Arabidopsis thaliana: one gene and its partners. The protein of the gene in region 2 purifies or fractionates together with the protein of the main gene of each other region. This does not show direct contact. Each region holds a gene or a part of one and is shown on either strand. Other genes may lie near its edges. The genes, in order: PHB4, VDAC3, PHB5 and PHB3.

Region 1 (4,457 bases), on a different chromosome or scaffold from region 2:
GACAATAATAAATTCCACAAAAGTACGAGTGACTAGTGTCCACGAGACTAGTGGTTGAAAATTAGGACTTGAATTCATTCCCTCTAGAAGTTTATACAAATTTCAGACCAACTTTTTAATTAACACTTTTTTTCATTTATTTTTTCTTGAGCAAAATAAGAGAGGAAGTAAGATAGATTAAAATTTAAACAACCACAAGATAAACATGCTTTAAGATTCTAGTTAAGAGATGGATAATTGAACGAATCCAAACCAATTGGAGGGGAATGGTCTGTTAGATTTCACATGTTAGAGGTTCCTCCATGAAGTCTAGAGTTAGACTCTTTCGAAATCTCACAAAATGTAGCTTGAAGGATGAGTTTGACATCAACAATCTGTTGGTCCAATAGTAAATCTCCCAGATGGAGGTGTTGAGTTCAAAGCATGTTGGGAGGGATTTTTTCTCCTAAAAAGATGAATTTAACTTGGTGTAGGTCTCGCCAGGCTGACCTCGCCCATATTTACAAATTACAATATCATCAAAACCCGAAGGAGTAAACAAAGAGTGGTGATTAAAGAATGAAGTGTCATTTTAAATAGCTCCCACTTGTTTTTCTCTCGATCTCAATCTGACAGAAACTGATATATTCCACTGATCTTCATCGATTCATCAAAGTTTTAGATTTTAATTCAGATTTCATCTTAAGGGAGGGTATTACGAGTATAGGAATGTGATTATCATATTAATGAAAGTTGAGGTTTTAAAAATAGCTTAACCAAACAAATGTAATCTTGCCAAAAAGATATAAAATGAGTCCATCAACAAAATTTATCGGAGTTACAAGATCATCAGATTCCGAAAAGCTTTTCTGTTTATGCGAGCGGTAATAGTGTTTTTTGATGTCTCCGTCGATTTCTTTGAAGGTGGCCAAAGGCGAAACGGAGACACTATTGTGCAACAAGTTGTTCATTTGTTTCCAAACATGGTAAGCTGTAGCATGAGCAACTCCTACTAATTTCCAAAGAATTGTGGGAGCAGTCTCTGTTTTTAGCTTAGTCCAAGCCAGAATTGAAATCCAAGTAATAAAGATATAAGGCGATATCGTTAATCCTCTTCTGGTGTTTTCTGTATGTAAAACGGCGTCTTTCTTTTGATTCGAAACGGAGGAGTTTGTGAAGGGTAACAAGACGGAATGGTTCTTTATATCTGGGAGGACCAAGATGGGGAAATGTGGAAAAAGAATGAATCGTAGAGACAATGGAGGATACTGGAGGGTAGTATCATCTCTGCCAAGAAGATTCATGCTGGAGAAGCAGGCCTTGTCGGCTACAAATACTCACTAGAGTACTACATTGGAAAACAACCAAAATGGCGTAAAAGAGGGTTGGTTGATGCATGAACACTGGCTTAAGTCTTCTGATGATATTAATAACTACGAGCTGGTAAGAGTATATATGTACGTTTACTTACTTGGTTTCCAAGTTATTGAGACTCTTGAGTTTTGGTTTTTATTGTGACGACTTCTGTTGTTTTGTTTGAGTAGGGCAATTATGCTATGTGCAAGATCTATCTGAGTCCACACGCAGCAAAGAAGAAGAAAACACACGATGAAGAGATCGACGATTTAGTTCAATTTGTGGAAGCAGCCTTAGATGTTTCTTTTTATCTACTTTTGCTGTCCAAAGTCAGAGGTCTCATTGTCTTTATATAGAATTTCTTGTATATAACATTTTCCACTGGTTGTATAGAAAAATCAATTTTAGTCTTTTGTGCTTATTCACTCTAATCAAAATCTCTAATCAAGGTGAAGGAGGAGGTGGAGGAAGAACATTTTCATCTTGCTCTCTAAGAAGATCCAAAATCTCTGCAGGGTTGTTATCAACACGCTCTTCGTCTCTGTCTTCCTCTCCGGATTTAGTTTCGTTTATGGGCAAATAATCAAATTCGGGTTTAATCTTCCAAACCGTTGTTTCCTTTTATATTACATCATTTCCTTTTCCTTTTTTATTATTGGGCCGAAGTAGTTTATATTATTAATGGGCTTTAAACAAGCCCATATTCAATAATTGTCGGCCAAAAAAAACCCTCTCTTCCAAGTTCCAAAATCATTTCATAAACCCTAACAAACCCCTAAATCTTTCCTTTCTCAATTCTCTCCTTCGAAGCTTTTTTCTTGTGAGGTCAGAAAAGAAAATGGGAAGTCAACAAGTAGCGATTTCGTTTCTGACGAACTTGGCGAAGGCGGCGTTTGGGTTAGGTGTGGCGGCGACGGCACTAAACTCGTCGCTCTACACTGTTGATGGTGGCGAGAGAGCTGTTTTGTTCGATCGATTCAGGGGAGTGTTGGATCAGACCGTCGGCGAAGGGACTCATTTCTTGATCCCGTATCTCCAGACGCCGCACATATACGATATTCGTACGAAACCTCACACTTTCTCCTCCAAATCTGGTACTAAGGATCTTCAGATGGTTAATCTCACCCTTCGTGTTCTCTTTCGCCCTGAGGTAATTTCGATTTTAGCAACAATCAATTTCTCGATTCTGTGTTTGATTTTGTATACATTGGTTGTTTACAAGATCGAGGGTTTAGGATGATCGTGTTCGTTCGATTTAGCAATCATTTATCGATTCTGTGTTTGATTTCGTGGAATTTGAAGTTTGTGTACAAGATCTAGAGTTGAAGATAATCCTTATGTGTAATTTGGTTTCTTCGATGAATGTTACTCTTATTATAGAAGCTTTTGGTGCATATCTATGCTGGCTTCGATTGTTTGAGGGATTGAATAAGTTGTTGTGGTTATTTTACTGTGAAGGTTTCGCGTCTCCCGTACATTTTCCAAACATTGGGTCTTGAATACGATGAGAAGGTTCTTCCATCGATTGGAAATGAGGTCTTGAAAGCTGTGGTTGCTAATTTCAATGCTGATCAGCTCCTCACTGAGCGTCCTCAAGTATCAGCACTTGTTCGTGATGCTCTTATCAAGCGTGCCAGGGAATTTAACATTGAGCTCGACGACATAGCCATTACTCACTTATCGTACGGTGCTGAGTTCTCGAGGGCAGTGGAGGCGAAGCAAGTGGCTCAGCAGGAAGCTGAAAGGTCAAAGTTTGTGGTGATGAAGGCTGATCAAGAGAGGAGAGCTGCGGTTATAAGAGCAGAAGGTGAGAGTGAAGCTGCTCAGTTGATATCAGATGCAACAGCTAAAGCAGGAATGGGACTAATTGAGCTTAGGAGGATTGAAGCTTCAAGGGAGGTTGCGGCTACTCTGGCTAGGTCTCCGAACGTGGCTTACTTACCTGGTGGACAAAGCATGCTCTTTAATCTGAACCCTGGTCGTTGAGCTATAACATTGGTATGCTCTTTTACTTCTTTGAATAATGAATGAAAAATGGATTTGGACTTAAGATTCCCATTTAAAGGCATTAAGGTTATTCGGTTTGGTTGAACTAAGAGTGGTTATGGTTTGGTATAAACTGTTTGGTTTGATAGTAGAGTATGGTTTAGGTTTGTGGAATGGTGTGGTTTACTTGTTTGGCCTTGTTGTATTTGCAGGTGGGAAGAGGAGCTTCAGTGGAGACAAAACGACGGAGCTGTGAAGTTTATTAACGTTGATGCTCTTTTATTTCTGATGAACACGATGTGAAAAAAGATAATTGTTTTGAGCCGTTCTATCTTTTCTGACTCTAGAAGTAAAGACTATGCCATTGTTGTCGAAACCCGATCATTCCAATGAAAGGCTTCACCAAAAAATCTACCATAACAATAGTCGAAATTTGTATTGTCAAAAACAATTTCCAACACCAAGGTTGTTGTACTTGTATTATTTAAAATATAAATTAAAACATGGTAAATAAATTAAATAAAACTTTTTTATGTGGTCACTTTGGTGGCTTCGGTACATGCGGTGGCCTCTTGTGGTGGGGTAGACAAACTCTAAGTATAGTGCATTCACAAACTTTAACTTTTCCCTTCAAATTACAATTTGCTCCACCATAACCTTCGTTGTTACAACTCGTTCGGCACCTCCTAGCACCGTCTACCTTATTACACGTCTCTGGCGGTGCTTTGCTTGGATAATCATCACACAATTCCCAATTCATTGCTTTTCCTAATACAATAATTCGATCAATTACAAGTATTTATATCGTATTGATTATATATGCATATTTTTGTTTTTTTTCAATGAAAATATATTTGGTAGAAGATTTAATATTATTTACGATTTTATCTCCTTGTAGTGATTTATTTTACAGCTAAATTACAATTTTGACAAATTTCCTTAATTTTTTTTTTAAATGAGTATAAGAAGTTCCATTTTTTCAATATTTGTATATCTTGTAATTTATAAACCAAAAGTTTAACCGCAAATAACACCTTTTTTTTTTGTTGCATTAAGCATCTATCATTATAAATCAAACTTTTAGACATTTTGTTTTTCCTTTTATAAGTTTTTATTTTTCTTTGTTAATAGAGTGT
Region 2 (5,407 bases):
TAACGCCGCAAGGGCGTTACCATCTTCTGGAGCTTCCCTAGAACATACAGGTAACTAAAAATCATTCCGTTTTTTCGATAAAAAATGATTTACCCTAATTAAATCTTGGTTTCTTGTAAAACAAGGCAATGACCAGGAAGAGGCTAATATAGAGGACGAGCCAAAAGAAGAAGAGGACGAAGAAGAAGTAGCAATAGTGAGAACAAGATCTGTTGGAACTATGAAGATTCTATTGAAGGCTTGGAGAAAGCTTATAATCAATCCAAATACATACGCAACATTGATCGGAATCATTTGGGCTACTTTACATTTCAGGTGTGAAAACAAAACTCTCTTATATTTAACACTGCAATCATATCTTTTGTGATAAATCATCTTACACATCTAAAGATTCAATCTTTATCATCTTACATATTCAAACACTTCCTTTTCTCTTTTTCAAAAAGAAAAGCGATAATTTAGTAGTGAGTTTCCCCTATTTTAAGCTTTCTGTTTGATCATTTTTCGCATCTACAAATTCATTTTTTTTAATATTTTAAAATCGAAAAGTGATAGTCAAGTGATATTCCCAACTATTAAGATTAGCTTCTTTTTTTAATAGTTTGTATCAAATGTTACTCATGTTTTTATTTATTTTCTCCAATAGATTGGGATGGAATTTGCCTGAGATGATTGATAAATCAATACATTTATTATCTGATGGAGGCTTAGGAATGGCCATGTTCAGCTTAGGTAAGCTATATATCTATACAAAAAAAAAAAAAAAACTAAACTTTCATGATTGGAAATTAAATTTAATTTAACAAAAAATGAAACAGGTCTGTTCATGGCATCACAAAGTAGTATCATAGCATGTGGTACAAAAATGGCGATTATAACAATGCTGCTCAAGTTCGTATTAGGACCTGCTCTTATGATTGCTTCTGCGTATTGCATCAGATTAAAAAGTACTCTCTTCAAAGTAGCAATATTACAGGTGAAAATATTAAAATTAATAATCCGTTAATAATAAAATCTGTCATATATATGTTTTTGTCGATTGATTTATTGTGTTGTAGGCAGCATTGCCTCAAGGAGTAGTGCCATTTGTTTTTGCAAAAGAGTATAATCTTCACCCGGAGATCATTAGTACTGGGTAAATAAATATATTTCTTGATTTGATTTTTTTTTTTCCTTCTTCTTATTACAATTTTTTTGAAATTTATTTTTGTGGTTTTTATTGTTTTGCTTTTTCAGGGTGATATTTGGAATGCTAATTGCCTTACCAACAACTTTGGCATATTATTTTCTATTGGACCTATGAATATGACATGTTCAAAAAAAAAACATGTTTTATACGTAGGCTCTTAATTTTGGATTTTATATGGTATTTAATTTAGTCATAGTTTTTTAGATGTTGAAATTATAAAGCTAATAATGTCAACCATTCTCTTTAATTATTGTAAATCATTTTTCTCCTGATATTAAATTAGAAAAAAACATGTCAACTAGTAAAATCAAAATTTTGACTTATTCTTTTTAAAAAATAGGATAATAGATACTATATAGGAGTAAATATAAAAGAACACCATTTAAGAAAATTTAAATATCACATTAATAAGAACAATTCAGATGGTTAACTCTAAGAAAATAAATAGACATTGTCAAAGACTCAACAACAAAAAAAAAATTATATAAAAATAAATAAATTTTGGGGATGAAGAAAACTAGAGAGTACACGGCCTGCTTTGCTTGCCACGCAATGAAAAATGGAAAAAAGCCATAAAAAAATAAAATAAGAATACGAAAATCAAATAAAAAACATAAAAAAAATGCCTTGGAGAGAGGGGAATATATAATCAACGGTTGATAAAGAGGGACACCGACTCATGTCATATTAATCTAACGGCTGAGATATTTTTACTTGATAAGCAGGGAAATACAATATTATAATATAAATTAATTTAGGGTTACCCTTTCTTCTTCCCCTTATATACACAAACACCACACCTCATTTTCTCCAGAATCCTCCATTACTCTTCTTCTCGACTTCGGAATCTTTCAAAGCTTCTTCGATTTTTCCAGAGGCAATCATGGTTAAAGGTCCAGGACTCTACACTGAAATCGGCAAAAAGGCCAGAGGTACGATCTCTCTCTCTTTCTCTATGGTGACGCGAATGTGACTGTTGTTGACATTTCGTAAACATTTGAGCTCTTTTCTGATCTGGGTTTAGGTTGATATTCATTGAATCGGTTAGGGTTTCTCATTCCTGGTTTTATTCCGATTTCTATCGGTCACGCTTAGGTCGTTGAAATTTGAATAGATGCATAAAAAGTTAAATATTCGTGTTTTGTGAGCTGATTGATAATATCTGTGTTCGTTTCCGTCAGATTTATGCTATCCGTTTCGTTTATCTGTATAGATAGAATAACAAGACTGGTTCTCTGGGTTTCAATTTTTGGGTCACTCGTTGATTAGCTGGTTTTGAAATTTTTTATCTTGGATCTGGAAAATGTCTATCAAGGATACAGAGTAGTTGTCTCGTGTTGAACTTTTCTATTTGAGTTGAATCTGAAGGTTTTTGAATGCTATTGTAGATCTTCTGTACAGGGATTACCAAGGAGACCAGAAATTCAGTGTCACCACTTACTCTTCAACTGGTGTTGTAAGTTTTTATTATTGTTTTTATTTCTGTCAATTCTCTATTTTGTTGGTGCGATGGGTTTATTGTTAGTGATAAAATTGAGATTTGTCTAGTTTTCTGTTATGTCAAATTTGGTTGTACAGTTTGTTTTCATGTGTACTCTCACTTGACTCTTTCTTGTGTCGAATGGTGATAAATTTGTAGGCGATCACTACAACGGGAACAAACAAAGGAAGCTTGTTTTTGGGTGATGTTGCTACCCAAGTGAAGAACAACAACTTCACTGCTGATGTCAAAGTTTCCACTGATTCTTCTGTAAGTAGACTTTTTAGCTTTAGCTGTTTCTAGTAGATATATGATGTTGCCGATTGCTGCTGGAGTATTCAATTGATTTTTTTTTGTGTGTGAATAATTTCAGCTTTTGACCACTCTTACCTTTGATGAGCCTGCCCCTGGACTGAAAGTTATTGTTCAGGCTAAGTTGCCCGATCACAAATCTGGAAAGGTATATAACTCCACCAGCTTTCTTTTCTTTCTGTTCCGTTTTTTTAAAGGTTGGTATGTTGGAGATAACCATTATTTGTTGTTTTCTGAGCAGGCTGAGGTTCAGTATTTCCATGACTATGCTGGTATCTCTACCAGCGTTGGATTCACAGCTACCCCGATTGTCAACTTCTCCGGTGTGGTTGGAACCAATGGTTTGTCTCTTGGTACTGATGTGGCCTATAACACCGAATCTGGCAACTTCAAACATTTCAATGCTGGTTTCAACTTCACCAAGGATGATTTGACTGCTTCCCTCATTCTGTAAGTGCCTCCCTCCATATGAAATGATGACTTGAGATTTTAATGCTGCTGGTTTTAAAAGAGTTGTTTCTTAAACTGTTTTTTTTCAGGAATGACAAAGGTGAGAAATTGAATGCATCCTACTACCAGATTGTGAGCCCGTCGACTGTGGTTGGAGCTGAGATTAGCCACAACTTCACGACCAAAGAGAACGCCATCACTGTCGGAACTCAACACGCGCTTGACCCATTGACCACAGTGAAGGCAAGAGTGAACAATGCTGGTGTGGCTAACGCTCTGATCCAACATGAGTGGCGTCCAAAGTCGTTCTTCACCGTTTCTGGAGAGGTTGATTCTAAGGCGATCGATAAGAGTGCCAAGGTTGGGATTGCTCTCGCTCTCAAGCCCTGAGAAGATACCACCAAATGGGCCCTGAAGTGGGTAGAATAGGTGTTATTTCTTTTTCGTCTTCAAATCTTTGGACAAATCGCTGTCTGGTTTGCTAAACAATCTTTCATTTGTTTTTTTTGTTCGGTGTTGGGATTTGTAGAAAATAAAAGAGAAAAATACTATTGAAAGGATCGTCTTTGACGATAAAGAACCATTAAGATCGTTTTACTTGGCTCTCTCTCTTTTATTTTCCGCCTCTGCTACAATACTCTGTTCCATATCTTTTACTTGGTTCTCTCTTTTATTTTCTGCCTCTGCTATACTTTGTTCCATTTGGAGTTCCCTTAGTGGATTTTTCTATGAGGTTCTTCTTACATGTCTAATTAATTTTGTCTAGTTGGTCAGATTTTTATCTGAGGTTTAGCCAACAAGATAGGTACACCTTCAATAGCACCTGTACTGATTCTTACATAGAACCAAAAAGTCATCAGTTTTATTATTCTTCAAACCAAAGAACCAAAAGCAAGAGAAGTAGAACCTATTCCGATTAGAGCTTTGGACTGTATCGTGTTCATCAAAACCCCTTCTTTTCGAGCCAACACATCGATCATCTCGAAACCAACCTGAAAACAACACAAAGTTGTAGCATTGCCGAGATCAAATCCAGCAAATCAGTAAAAGAAAAAGATTGTGTCTTGTTCCATGATACTTGTTTCCTGGATTGCCCAACCCAACGATAAGCCAAGGAGTGTACTCTACTTTGAATCTATCATTCTGACCACCAGAAGTAGATGAACAAACACGATACCTCTGTTTCCGGGATACTGGCTTTTGCGTTTGAAAATGGTAGATACTTGGTGTTTTCAATTTATAAAGAGCATCAAAAATGTTTTCAATTTATAACTTTTCTATGCTTTCAGCAATGGAAGACAAAATCAGTTTTTTTTTTTTCCATTTGGATTTACCCTTCTCCATCGTACATTATTAATCAATTAAAGAGTTACCCTAACGTTGTTTAAAAATATCTCCTTGTTGCTTAAAAACGACGATAAAAGCTTGAGCCTTCTAGCTCTGTTCGTTTGTGGCCTATTTCCACCACGTAAGAGCTATGTAGTTGCTCCTTTAGGCTTTGGCGAAGGAATCTGATGTCGATAAGGCGAAGAACCATGAGGACTAGACAGTGTTCGAAACACGGGTTGGTGTTGCCCGTTTCTTGATCCAAATCCTTGGGATCGACCTGACCCATTTTTCAAACGTTCAGCTTGCATTGTCTGGAAGTAGTAAGAAGAGCTTGCCATGTCTTTCAGATGCGGAAGTGGTTTAAGTGCTTCCACAACATCACTCATCTTTGGCCTAATCTTGGGGTCACGGCTAAGACATTGTGCAGCAAGCTGAGTCACTTTTTGAGCACCTTTGATTGAAAAATGGCCCTCAAGCCTCGGATCAAGTAACCGGTAAAACCTTCTCTTGTCAAGAAGATGCGGTCTTGCCCATTCCACTAAGTTGTGCTCACCATTTGGGCGGTTTTTGTCCATAGATCGTCGTCCAGTCAACATTTCAAGTAGAACCACCCCAAAACTATAAACATCGCTCTTTGATGTCAAGTG
Region 3 (3,486 bases), 280 kb from region 2:
ATACCTAATTGGTTGTGGATTTCTTGGGCAATTGTTGTTGGAATTGCTATTACTGTTAGTATACTTTGGATTTGGAATCTCTGGATAGAATTGTTTAGTGAAAGGAAAGCTAACAAAATCAGAGTAGACAAGAAAATTAGATAGTTTCTTCTTTCTTCTCTAGATCATTGTTTGATCTTCCTTTTCATGTACTATATATAATATATATACCATTATTATTCTCACCTTTTAGAATTCCTCTAAATGATGTATGTTTTGGAATAATAGATTTGCTTTTGGGTAAGCAGTATGTGCAAAATGCACTTTTAATTCAACTCTGTATTGTTCAGAAGTTCTTCTCTTAAGAGTTTCTTCCATACACATATGTCTTGTCTCTCTGCTACACTTGGTTGCTCACATCTTGATTCTTGATATTGATGAGAAACGTTTTCTTTATGAAGTGTGCCATTCTTGGTGAGTTATATTTGGCTTTATAACTCTCTTTGTTTACGGCCAACACCAAGTCCCCTGAAACCAGCAACTGGTAAGCCATATATTCTTTTACTTGGAAGAATCAAAAGTTAGCTGGGGAAGTGTAAGAAATTACGAAACACAGAGATTCATATCTTCGATCATTGGATTGTGAACTTTTCATGTGTTGAAGAGGATAGGAAGAGAATTGGGGACTAAACATACCATCCAAGCTGAGACATGGTGTTAGGCAGTCTGTTGTGGAAAGCTGAATGATATACCATTTGGCCAATGAATAGCATAAAATACACAAATTTAACCAATTTACTGAGAAGAGCATGGAATTAGAGAAAAATCTTTTAAGATCAAATAATCCCAAAGATAATAAGGAAAATGAAGGGATTGCTCAAACAAGGGGAATTATAAGGGACACATACAACAAGTCATTGTTGAATCTCATTTCAGTTCTTGGCCTTGATAGAATGGTTCTCCTTGATTCTAGCTCTGGTATCCAGCTTCACAAAACGTTTAAGATCATCAAAACTAAGAGTCTCAACGTTCTTCCTTCTAAGTTCGCTAAGCGCCGGTCGCTTATCAAGCAGATGCCATAAATAATCAGGGTGATCTGAATTAGGCAAGATCTTAGGGTCCAATCCATCTTTCAGAGTATTAGCACTAACAACCATACTCGATTTGATCTCTTTGCTCAAGTTCGATGCTTTTGGTGCATCATTACCTCCATCTCCCCTCCCAACCTTCTTCGCTTTACCAGCAGCTGTAGCAAATGTTCTTTGGCACACAAATCGCATTACATCTTTGGATCTAGAAATGGAATCCCCAAACATTCGAATAAGGTTCATATCAACAACCTTATACCTGCAAATTCACAAAATAAAACTAAATAAATCTACACAATCCTATAATGTTCGTTCTCGGATTTAGATCAAGATTCGAGTTTTGTCGAAGATTTTTGGGTGAGGGTTTAACTCGCAAGATAGAGATAGGTAGCGAGTGCATCGCGGGAACTGGTAAAACTTATTAAAAAGTAACGGACCGGAAAATTAAAAGACCCGTCTAAAAGCCCACCAATAGTAATGCATACAAGTAACACGTGGCAGGTATGGTTGACCGAGTGAGTAACAGAACGTGAGAAAACCGACCCGCTAAATAAGAACCCGCCCAATATAATAAGCTTTCTCCTTAACTTCTGCCTCACGCAAAAAAAAAAACTTCCTATAAAACCTCATCTCCTGCGTTCTCTAACTACTTCTCACCTATCTGACAAGAAAAGAAACCCTAAACAACATAAAAAGAAACCTAAAATCCATACAGGAGACATTCAAAGCCAATCATGCCTTGGTCAAAGTTCACAAAGGTAGCTCTAGGTCTAGGAGCTGCCATAGCGGCTGTGAGATCAACAATGTTCACCGTTGATGGTGGCCAGAGAGCTGTTATGTTCCACCGATTCGAAGGGATTCTAGAAGAACCAGTAGGAGAAGGGACACATCGTAAGATTCCGTGGGTGCAAAAGCCGTATATCTTCGACATTCGGACCAAACCCTACAAAATCAATACCGACTCTGGAACTAAGGATCTTCAGATGGTCAACCTCACACTTCGTGTTATGTTTCGCCCTGATGTAAGTTCCCGCGAATATCCAAAAAATTTCACTAATAAGATTTTGTGATATATATGTAAAATAATATATAACTGTTTTCCGTGGGTTCGTGTTAGGTTTCGCGCCTCTCGTATATATACCAAAACTTAGGTCTCGACTATGGTGAAAAGGTCCTACCAGCGATCGGGACGAGGTGGTTAAAGCGGTGGTGGCTCAGTTCAACGCTGACGAGCTCTTAACAGAACGTCCACAGGTCTCAGCTCTTATACGCGAAACGTTGATCAAGCGAGCTAAGGAGTTCAACATTGTTCTCGATGACGTGTCGATCACTGGTCTCTCATACGGTAAAGAGTTCTCACTTGCGGTGGAGCGGAAGCAGGTGGCACAGCAAGAAGCTGAGCGGTCCAAGTTCGTAGTGGCAAAGGCTGATCAGGAGAGACGAGCGGCTGTGATTAGAGCAGAAGGAGAGAGCGAGGCGGCTCGGGTTATATCGAAAGCGACTGCAGGGGCTGGGATGGGGTTGATCAAGCTCAGAAGGGTCGAGGCGGCTAGAGAGGTTGCGATTACGCTCTCTAATTCTCCCAATGTCGTCTATTTGCCAAGTGGTGGGAATATGTTGTTTGCAATGAACGGTCCAAGCAAAGTTGTTGCTTGAATTAGTTGCAAAAATATGGTGTTCAATGGTTATATTGATTTGTGTGTTTTAAGATTTTCATTTTTTTATATAGTTTCCTAGTATTGGATCACCCTAGTATACTCCAGTTGAGACTGTTCTTGCGAGTCTGAGACTCGCACACATGACACATGACACATCTACTGTTAAGTCGACATTGACATCAAATTAAACAATCACTGTGCCAATCAAACTTATGCATAGACCTAGAGATAATTAAGTAGTCCAAGTTCAAAGGTTGATCTAACCTGGATCAGTGCCCTTGGTAGCTATGGCACATACTTCCTCACTAGGGAAAATGGGAGCTGATTATCCAGCAGCTTTCGATTAGATATCAACAAACAAAATGCAAATTAGGTTATCTTAGAAAGAAAAAAAAACAAGCTATTCATCGGATCACAAGTCACAAGTGTCACCTCGAAAGAAACTTGGGCCCATCTATATTATCTTATGGGCCTTATCGACCGATTCAAATATTGCAAATTAGTGTCGTTAACCTTTTTTGAAAACATACGGCCATTAGTGACAATTTAATTAATATTCTACAAATTCGAGCAGTGTCTTCTACATTTCTTTGTAAAGTCTTTGGTTTTTAATTTTAAGGTCAAGTTCACCATGAGCGACCAAAGTTTTGAATTTTTCAAGGTTTTTATTTTCATTTTATCGTTGTATGGAGAAAGTTTCTTATATCTTCATTTGAACATTGAATAGAATTATTAAACATTATAATTCAAGGTAGGATGGT
Region 4 (5,232 bases), about 11 Mb from region 2:
CAGTTTACAGGAGTTTTATATGGATGTTGTCCAATGTCGTAAGCTCATAATCTTAGACTTGTTATGTTTATTTCAATAGAAGCGTGTAGACTAAACCGCAATTGGCAACTCGAGTGTTCCGTCTGTATCTCCGCATCGAATGAGAGATACATGCTTATGTAATATAGTTCAGCGCGGGCATGTTTGTATCTGCATTTAGTGATTGTGCAAACAAAAATCAAATGATCAAAGTAGTTAATGCCTCCAGTGAAGCATCTCGGAAGCTGTACACGAGAGGAAGTTTTCTTCAAAGAAATAATCAGTTGACTCGGTTTAATTGTTACGTGTCACCTAGTGTTGTAGGTTAAGGATGAAATTTATCTCCACCAGATTGCAAATTTATTTTTATTTACTCGTCAATCTATTTCATCTTCGTTGTATATGGTCAACGAAACTATTAGATTACAATCAATTGATTTTATAATTATTACTAAGGTATGAATAATTTCAACACCACCAATTAGCTATAGTTTCGATCTGCACTTTGACACTAAATTATAATTTTTATAATTTAGTGTATCAACGTGACATCATGTATGTGATAATTAGCTTACATTATCTTATACTAGTTTGTAAACAAATACTGGCCATTGGTGGAGGAAAATTATGTGCACTAAACAACAAATGAGCATCCATTATAGCTTAGACTAAAGAATATTTGCATTATATGTAATGAGTCTCATATTTAAGTAAATGGCAATTCTAAAATTTTTTCACTAGCTAGATAAAAACACATCAATACTTTTTATTGATCTACCATTGGTGGTCAGATGATAATTCGATTCAATGTTTAGCCTAAACATATTCTTTCTGACCGATTAAAAACCAAGTGAACGTTTTGTTTTGGTCGATCTATCCCAAGATTAGTTGGACTTTGTTCCAAATTTCTTGATGAGCAAACACAAAAGTGTAAATTGTTTCTTATTATTGTTGTCATGTACCATATATATATATTTGACAAAATAACCTAGTATAGTAGTAGTAGTATATATATAATTATATATATATATATTAATATTAGTTTCAGTTTGTTTATTTTACAATTATACACTTCTCACTCTAATTGGTTATCAAAGATTCATGTTTCCTTCACTTGGGTTGTTTCTTTTACCTGTTTCGATAATATTGATGACTACATATATATCCGGTTGGAGTCAAAATGTTGAAAGAATCGAATTTAGCTCAATCTTTGAAGTTGGCGTTTAGTTTTTGAAATTAAAGATTTCTCTGCAATATTTTAATTGAAAATCAATATTGAAGGACTTTTCTGTAATATAAATCTATTTTAAAGGTTATTTTCAAACCTGTATAAGATTCGACACCGAAACATTTGACATTTTCGATAACGTGGTGAGGTCACTGTGTGACCTTCCAAGTAAAACTCCATAATTTTCTTAGTATTCGAGACGACTTAATTGAGTCATATTAATTAAGTGATACATAATATCTCTATATTTTTTTGGTCGAAGATACATAACAATTTTACGGATAAAATATTTGGAGATTTACATGCTTTCAGATTCAGTTTTAATACTCGTGTACATCTGTCTTCAAATCCCACTTAACCGAATAGAAAAGTATTCGCGTATACTGTTTGTTGGTCAAAAAATAGTCACAAAAAGTTTTCAAAAATAGATATCATTGTTTCACAACTTTTCTTTTAAGGAAAAAAAAACACTTTTTATACTGGAAAAACTCAACAACAACGTCCCCTGCCGTTATATTTGAAAAGGATTAATCATGCTCACATGTAAATATTTTTCTTATACGAAAAAGTAGTTATCCTTATTCAACTTCGTGTTTGTCAAGTAGCTCGAAGAATATTTTTGTTCACTACCGTTGGCTTGTACTAATCTAATACTTTTATAGTAGGCCCTTAACACCATACAAATGTCCAAGTAGGTATATTCTTCAATTTTTATTTGATTAAACAAATTGAGATAAACTATTGGCGTTGACCGATCTTGGTTTTCATTGCCTCGATTTTGCTGTTTTATATTTGGTTTCTTCTTGCTGGTTGGGATGCTGTTTTTGAACTGTGAGGTAGTCTTCATTTGTTATAAGAAGAGCTGCTATCTTGATGCTGTGGATTAGAATTTCCCCGTCGTTTAGCCATTTCTGCAAGCTTTTCTTTATCTTGGATTGATGGTGGGCAATGTCTCATGTGCTAGATTCTGGTTATAGTTTTTGATTTTCCATGGTTCAGTTTCTATTTTCTTATGCATTTAAAGTAATGTTTGTTAGCTTCCCATACTTTTGGGCTTTAGTCTCCGAGGATTTTTGTTATCCGTCGACTTAGTTTTTGAGATTATCTTGTTAATCGTCAGCTTTAACTTTGTAAACTCTATCTATAATCTATCTTTCAGTAAAAAAAAAATAAAAAAAATTGAGAGAAACATAATTTATGAGACAAAAAGATATTAAACATACTCTGTAACCGTTAAGCTGTTTTCAGCCCAATGTCATGAAACCCATTATTGAATTTAGTTCTTAATAGGCTTATATAGTCACATAATAATATTGGGCTAAGTTACTTGGCCCATTAAATCATTTCCCGTGGTAGGTTCCAGAAACATATCATAAACCCTAGCAGAAACTCTTTCCTCTCTCGTCGTCTCAAATCTCTTCTTCCTTCTTCTTCTCTCTCGATTCAAGATAATCCACACGCAAAAATGGGAAGCCAACAAGCGGCTGTTTCGTTCCTTTCCAATTTGGCGAAGGCTGCTTTCGGTCTTGGAACGGCGGCGACGGTGCTGAATACATCGCTTTTCACCGTTGACGGCGGAGAAAGAGCTGTTATCTTCGATCGATTCAGGGGAGTGATGGATCAGACTGTGGGTGAAGGGACTCATTTCTTGATCCCGATTCTTCAGAGGCCTCACATCTTCGATATCCGCACGAAGCCTCACACGTTCTCTTCAATCTCTGGTACTAAGGATCTCCAGATGGTTAATCTCACTCTTCGTGTTCTCTCTCGTCCTGAGGTATAACGCATAACGGTTCTTCATTTTTGATCTAGACTCGTTTGATTTCTCTGAATTGAGGTTTTTCAGATTCATTTGCGAATTGGATTTAGGGTTTAGGGTTTTGATGATCTATGATTTTCAAAATTTGTTTCGAGGACTAGGTATTGTAGAATCGTTATTAATTTGGTGTGTTTATGTGATGTGAATTGTTGTGAAGGTGTCGCGTCTCCCGTACATCTTCCAAACTTTGGGTCTAGAGTATGACGAGAAGGTTCTTCCTTCGATTGGAAATGAGGTTTTGAAAGCTGTGGTTGCACAGTTCAACGCTGACCAGCTTCTCACTGAGCGTCCTCACGTCTCAGCACTTGTTCGGGAGTCACTAATCACCCGTGCGAAGGACTTCAACATTGTGCTTGATGATGTAGCTATCACGCATTTGTCCTATGGTGTGGAGTTTTCAAGGGCTGTTGAGCAGAAACAAGTGGCTCAGCAAGAGGCAGAGAGGTCTAAGTTTGTTGTGATGAAGGCTGATCAAGAGAGGAGAGCTGCGGTTATAAGAGCTGAAGGTGAAAGTGAAGCTGCTCAGTTGATTTCTGATGCTACGGCTAAAGCTGGTATGGGACTTATCGAGCTTAGGAGGATTGAAGCTTCAAGGGAGATTGCGTCTACACTTGCTAGGTCTCCTAATGTGGCCTACTTACCCGGTGGCCAGAGCATGCTCTTTGCCCTGAACCGTTGATCTTGATCAGATATGATGGTATGTAAAAGCTTCATCTGAATCCATAGAATTAAGTCGTTTTGTGATTTGTCTGAAGGCTTTGTATTATGGTTATGTGCAGGTTGTTTGGGAGCATTTTGCGATATTTTAATGATCAAGTTGTGAATCTGATTGAATCAAAAAGGTGAAATGCTCTTTTGTTTTGATGAACTCTGAAGAAGAAAAAGAAACTAGTTGTTTGAGTTGTCATTATTGTGTTCTGAATCTCGGCAAAATTTACTCTACCTGAAGAATCTTTGTTTTCAGCATCATGTTTATCTAATTCTCAACAAATAAATGATTTTGGCTGAACTGTAAGTAATTTGTTTGTTACACATGCGTGAGAAAAGAAAATACAGATGGTACCTAGGAGTGTTGTTCTATGCGGATAAACTATGGTCACATCTGGATTATCTAGATGGTACCTATTTTGCATAAACTGTCGATAGTCTACGTCAAATTTCGATCTGTATGGACATTCAATTGTTTTTGCATAAACAGAGCAAGTTCAGAAACAAAGCAAATAAAGAAGAGAAATCATGAAAGATAGCCTTTTCTATCGAGATCCATTTTATCCATCGGTTTTAGTTTTTTTTTTTTTGGTCATCTAATGATAATGATGACTATGTAAAGACGGCGTCGGTTCCTAGACTCAACTTATGTGTCTGTGTCAACAAACTCTAGATGGAACTTAATGTGTGTTTCAACCACCTCTAGATTGAACTTATGTGTGTATATCAACAAACTCTACATTTTTTGGCAATTTTTTCTATCTCATCGTCAATTTCATTCATTTAACGAGCACAACAAAAGCTAAATTCATTTATGGTATTGGTAAGATTTTTATTTTTATTTCTACAAAGCCGCAAATACAAGACCAAAGGAAGTGTCAAAGTGAACAGCTGAAGTAGCAAGTTTCACGTACAAACACCAAACTCGAGGAGGGACTATTCAGCATAATTTATACATATACATGTAGATACATGTATTGTGTATTTATATATATGTAGGGTTTTATAGTGTAGGAGGGATCCAGATATAGCCGTGAGTCTGAAGATAACCAGCTTTCTCTAGTAGCTGATCAGCTTCTTTCGGTCCTCGGCTTCCTGGTTTGTATGGGATTGACTTTACTTCTCCTTTGTCGATCCTGTGGAGTAGCGGCGTGAAGATCTCCCACGCAACCTGTAATAATCATCAAAATGGATACAAATGTTAGCTCCTGAATTGTATGATGCAAAAGTTTGTGTCTGGATTGTGTCTATAGTTAGAGCATTTGTAATGTAACAAAAAAACGATCTCAGAGACTGCTTTGGTTTAAGGGTGGCGTTAGAAAATGTTTCTACCTTTAATTCGTCTCTACGAACGAAATGTTGTTGATCGCCTTTGATTCTGCAGAGAGATGGAAAGAAAATATGTTGAAGATAACATGAAGGAACAGAAGGCATCAATTAGATATATAAAGCCTATTGG

Evidence for each region.
Region 1: the proteins of VDAC3 (region 2) and PHB4 fractionate together in Arabidopsis thaliana (co-fractionation; one large-scale study listed by BioGRID). This does not show direct contact.
Region 3: the proteins of VDAC3 (region 2) and PHB5 fractionate together in Arabidopsis thaliana (co-fractionation; one large-scale study listed by BioGRID). This does not show direct contact.
Region 4: the proteins of VDAC3 (region 2) and PHB3 fractionate together in Arabidopsis thaliana (co-fractionation; one large-scale study listed by BioGRID). This does not show direct contact.

The regions. Positions count from the first base shown.
Region 1 is NC_003074.8:10,074,731-10,079,187, forward strand, and holds PHB4 (prohibitin 4), read left to right. Parts: upstream 1-2,078; 5' UTR 2,079-2,173; coding exon 2,174-2,485; intron 2,486-2,793; coding exon 2,794-3,321; 3' UTR 3,322-3,333; exon of another isoform or gene 3,334-3,533; 3' UTR 3,534-3,878; downstream 3,879-4,457. Other genes in the region: AT3G27270 (TRAM, LAG1 and CLN8 (TLC) lipid-sensing domain containing protein), read left to right, coding at 904-976. UniProt on the Arabidopsis thaliana protein: Prohibitin probably acts as a holdase/unfoldase for the stabilization of newly synthesized mitochondrial proteins.
Region 2 is NC_003076.8:4,888,055-4,893,461, reverse strand, and holds VDAC3 (voltage dependent anion channel 3), read left to right. Parts: upstream 1-1,858; 5' UTR 1,859-2,072; coding exon 2,073-2,121; intron 2,122-2,577; coding exon 2,578-2,645; intron 2,646-2,828; coding exon 2,829-2,939; intron 2,940-3,042; coding exon 3,043-3,129; intron 3,130-3,222; coding exon 3,223-3,431; intron 3,432-3,520; coding exon 3,521-3,821; 3' UTR 3,822-3,939; exon of another isoform or gene 3,940-4,169; intron 4,170-4,291; 3' UTR 4,292-4,498; downstream 4,499-5,407. Other genes in the region: PIN8 (Auxin efflux carrier family protein), read left to right, coding at 1-50, 126-315, 647-732, 819-976, 1,059-1,135, 1,237-1,303; AT5G15080 (Protein kinase superfamily protein), read right to left, coding at 4,907-5,407. UniProt on the Arabidopsis thaliana protein: Forms a channel through the mitochondrial outer membrane that allows diffusion of small hydrophilic molecules. The channel adopts an open conformation at low or zero membrane potential and a closed conformation at potentials above 30-40 mV.
Region 3 is NC_003076.8:4,611,301-4,614,786, forward strand, and holds PHB5 (prohibitin 5), read left to right. Parts: upstream 1-1,801; coding exon 1,802-2,089; intron 2,090-2,261; coding exon 2,262-2,723; downstream 2,724-3,486. Other genes in the region: AT5G14285 (DNA-binding storekeeper), read left to right, coding at 1-144; AT5G14290 (Mitochondrial ribosomal protein L37), read right to left, coding at 912-1,310.
Region 4 is NC_003076.8:16,314,101-16,319,332, reverse strand, and holds PHB3 (prohibitin 3), read left to right. Parts: upstream 1-2,041; 5' UTR 2,042-2,711; coding exon 2,712-3,023; intron 3,024-3,222; coding exon 3,223-3,744; 3' UTR 3,745-3,762; intron 3,763-3,844; 3' UTR 3,845-4,483; downstream 4,484-5,232. Other genes in the region: G6PD6 (glucose-6-phosphate dehydrogenase 6), read right to left, coding at 4,777-4,944, 5,106-5,151. UniProt on the Arabidopsis thaliana protein: Prohibitin probably acts as a holdase/unfoldase for the stabilization of newly synthesized mitochondrial proteins. Necessary for mitochondrial and cell metabolism and biogenesis.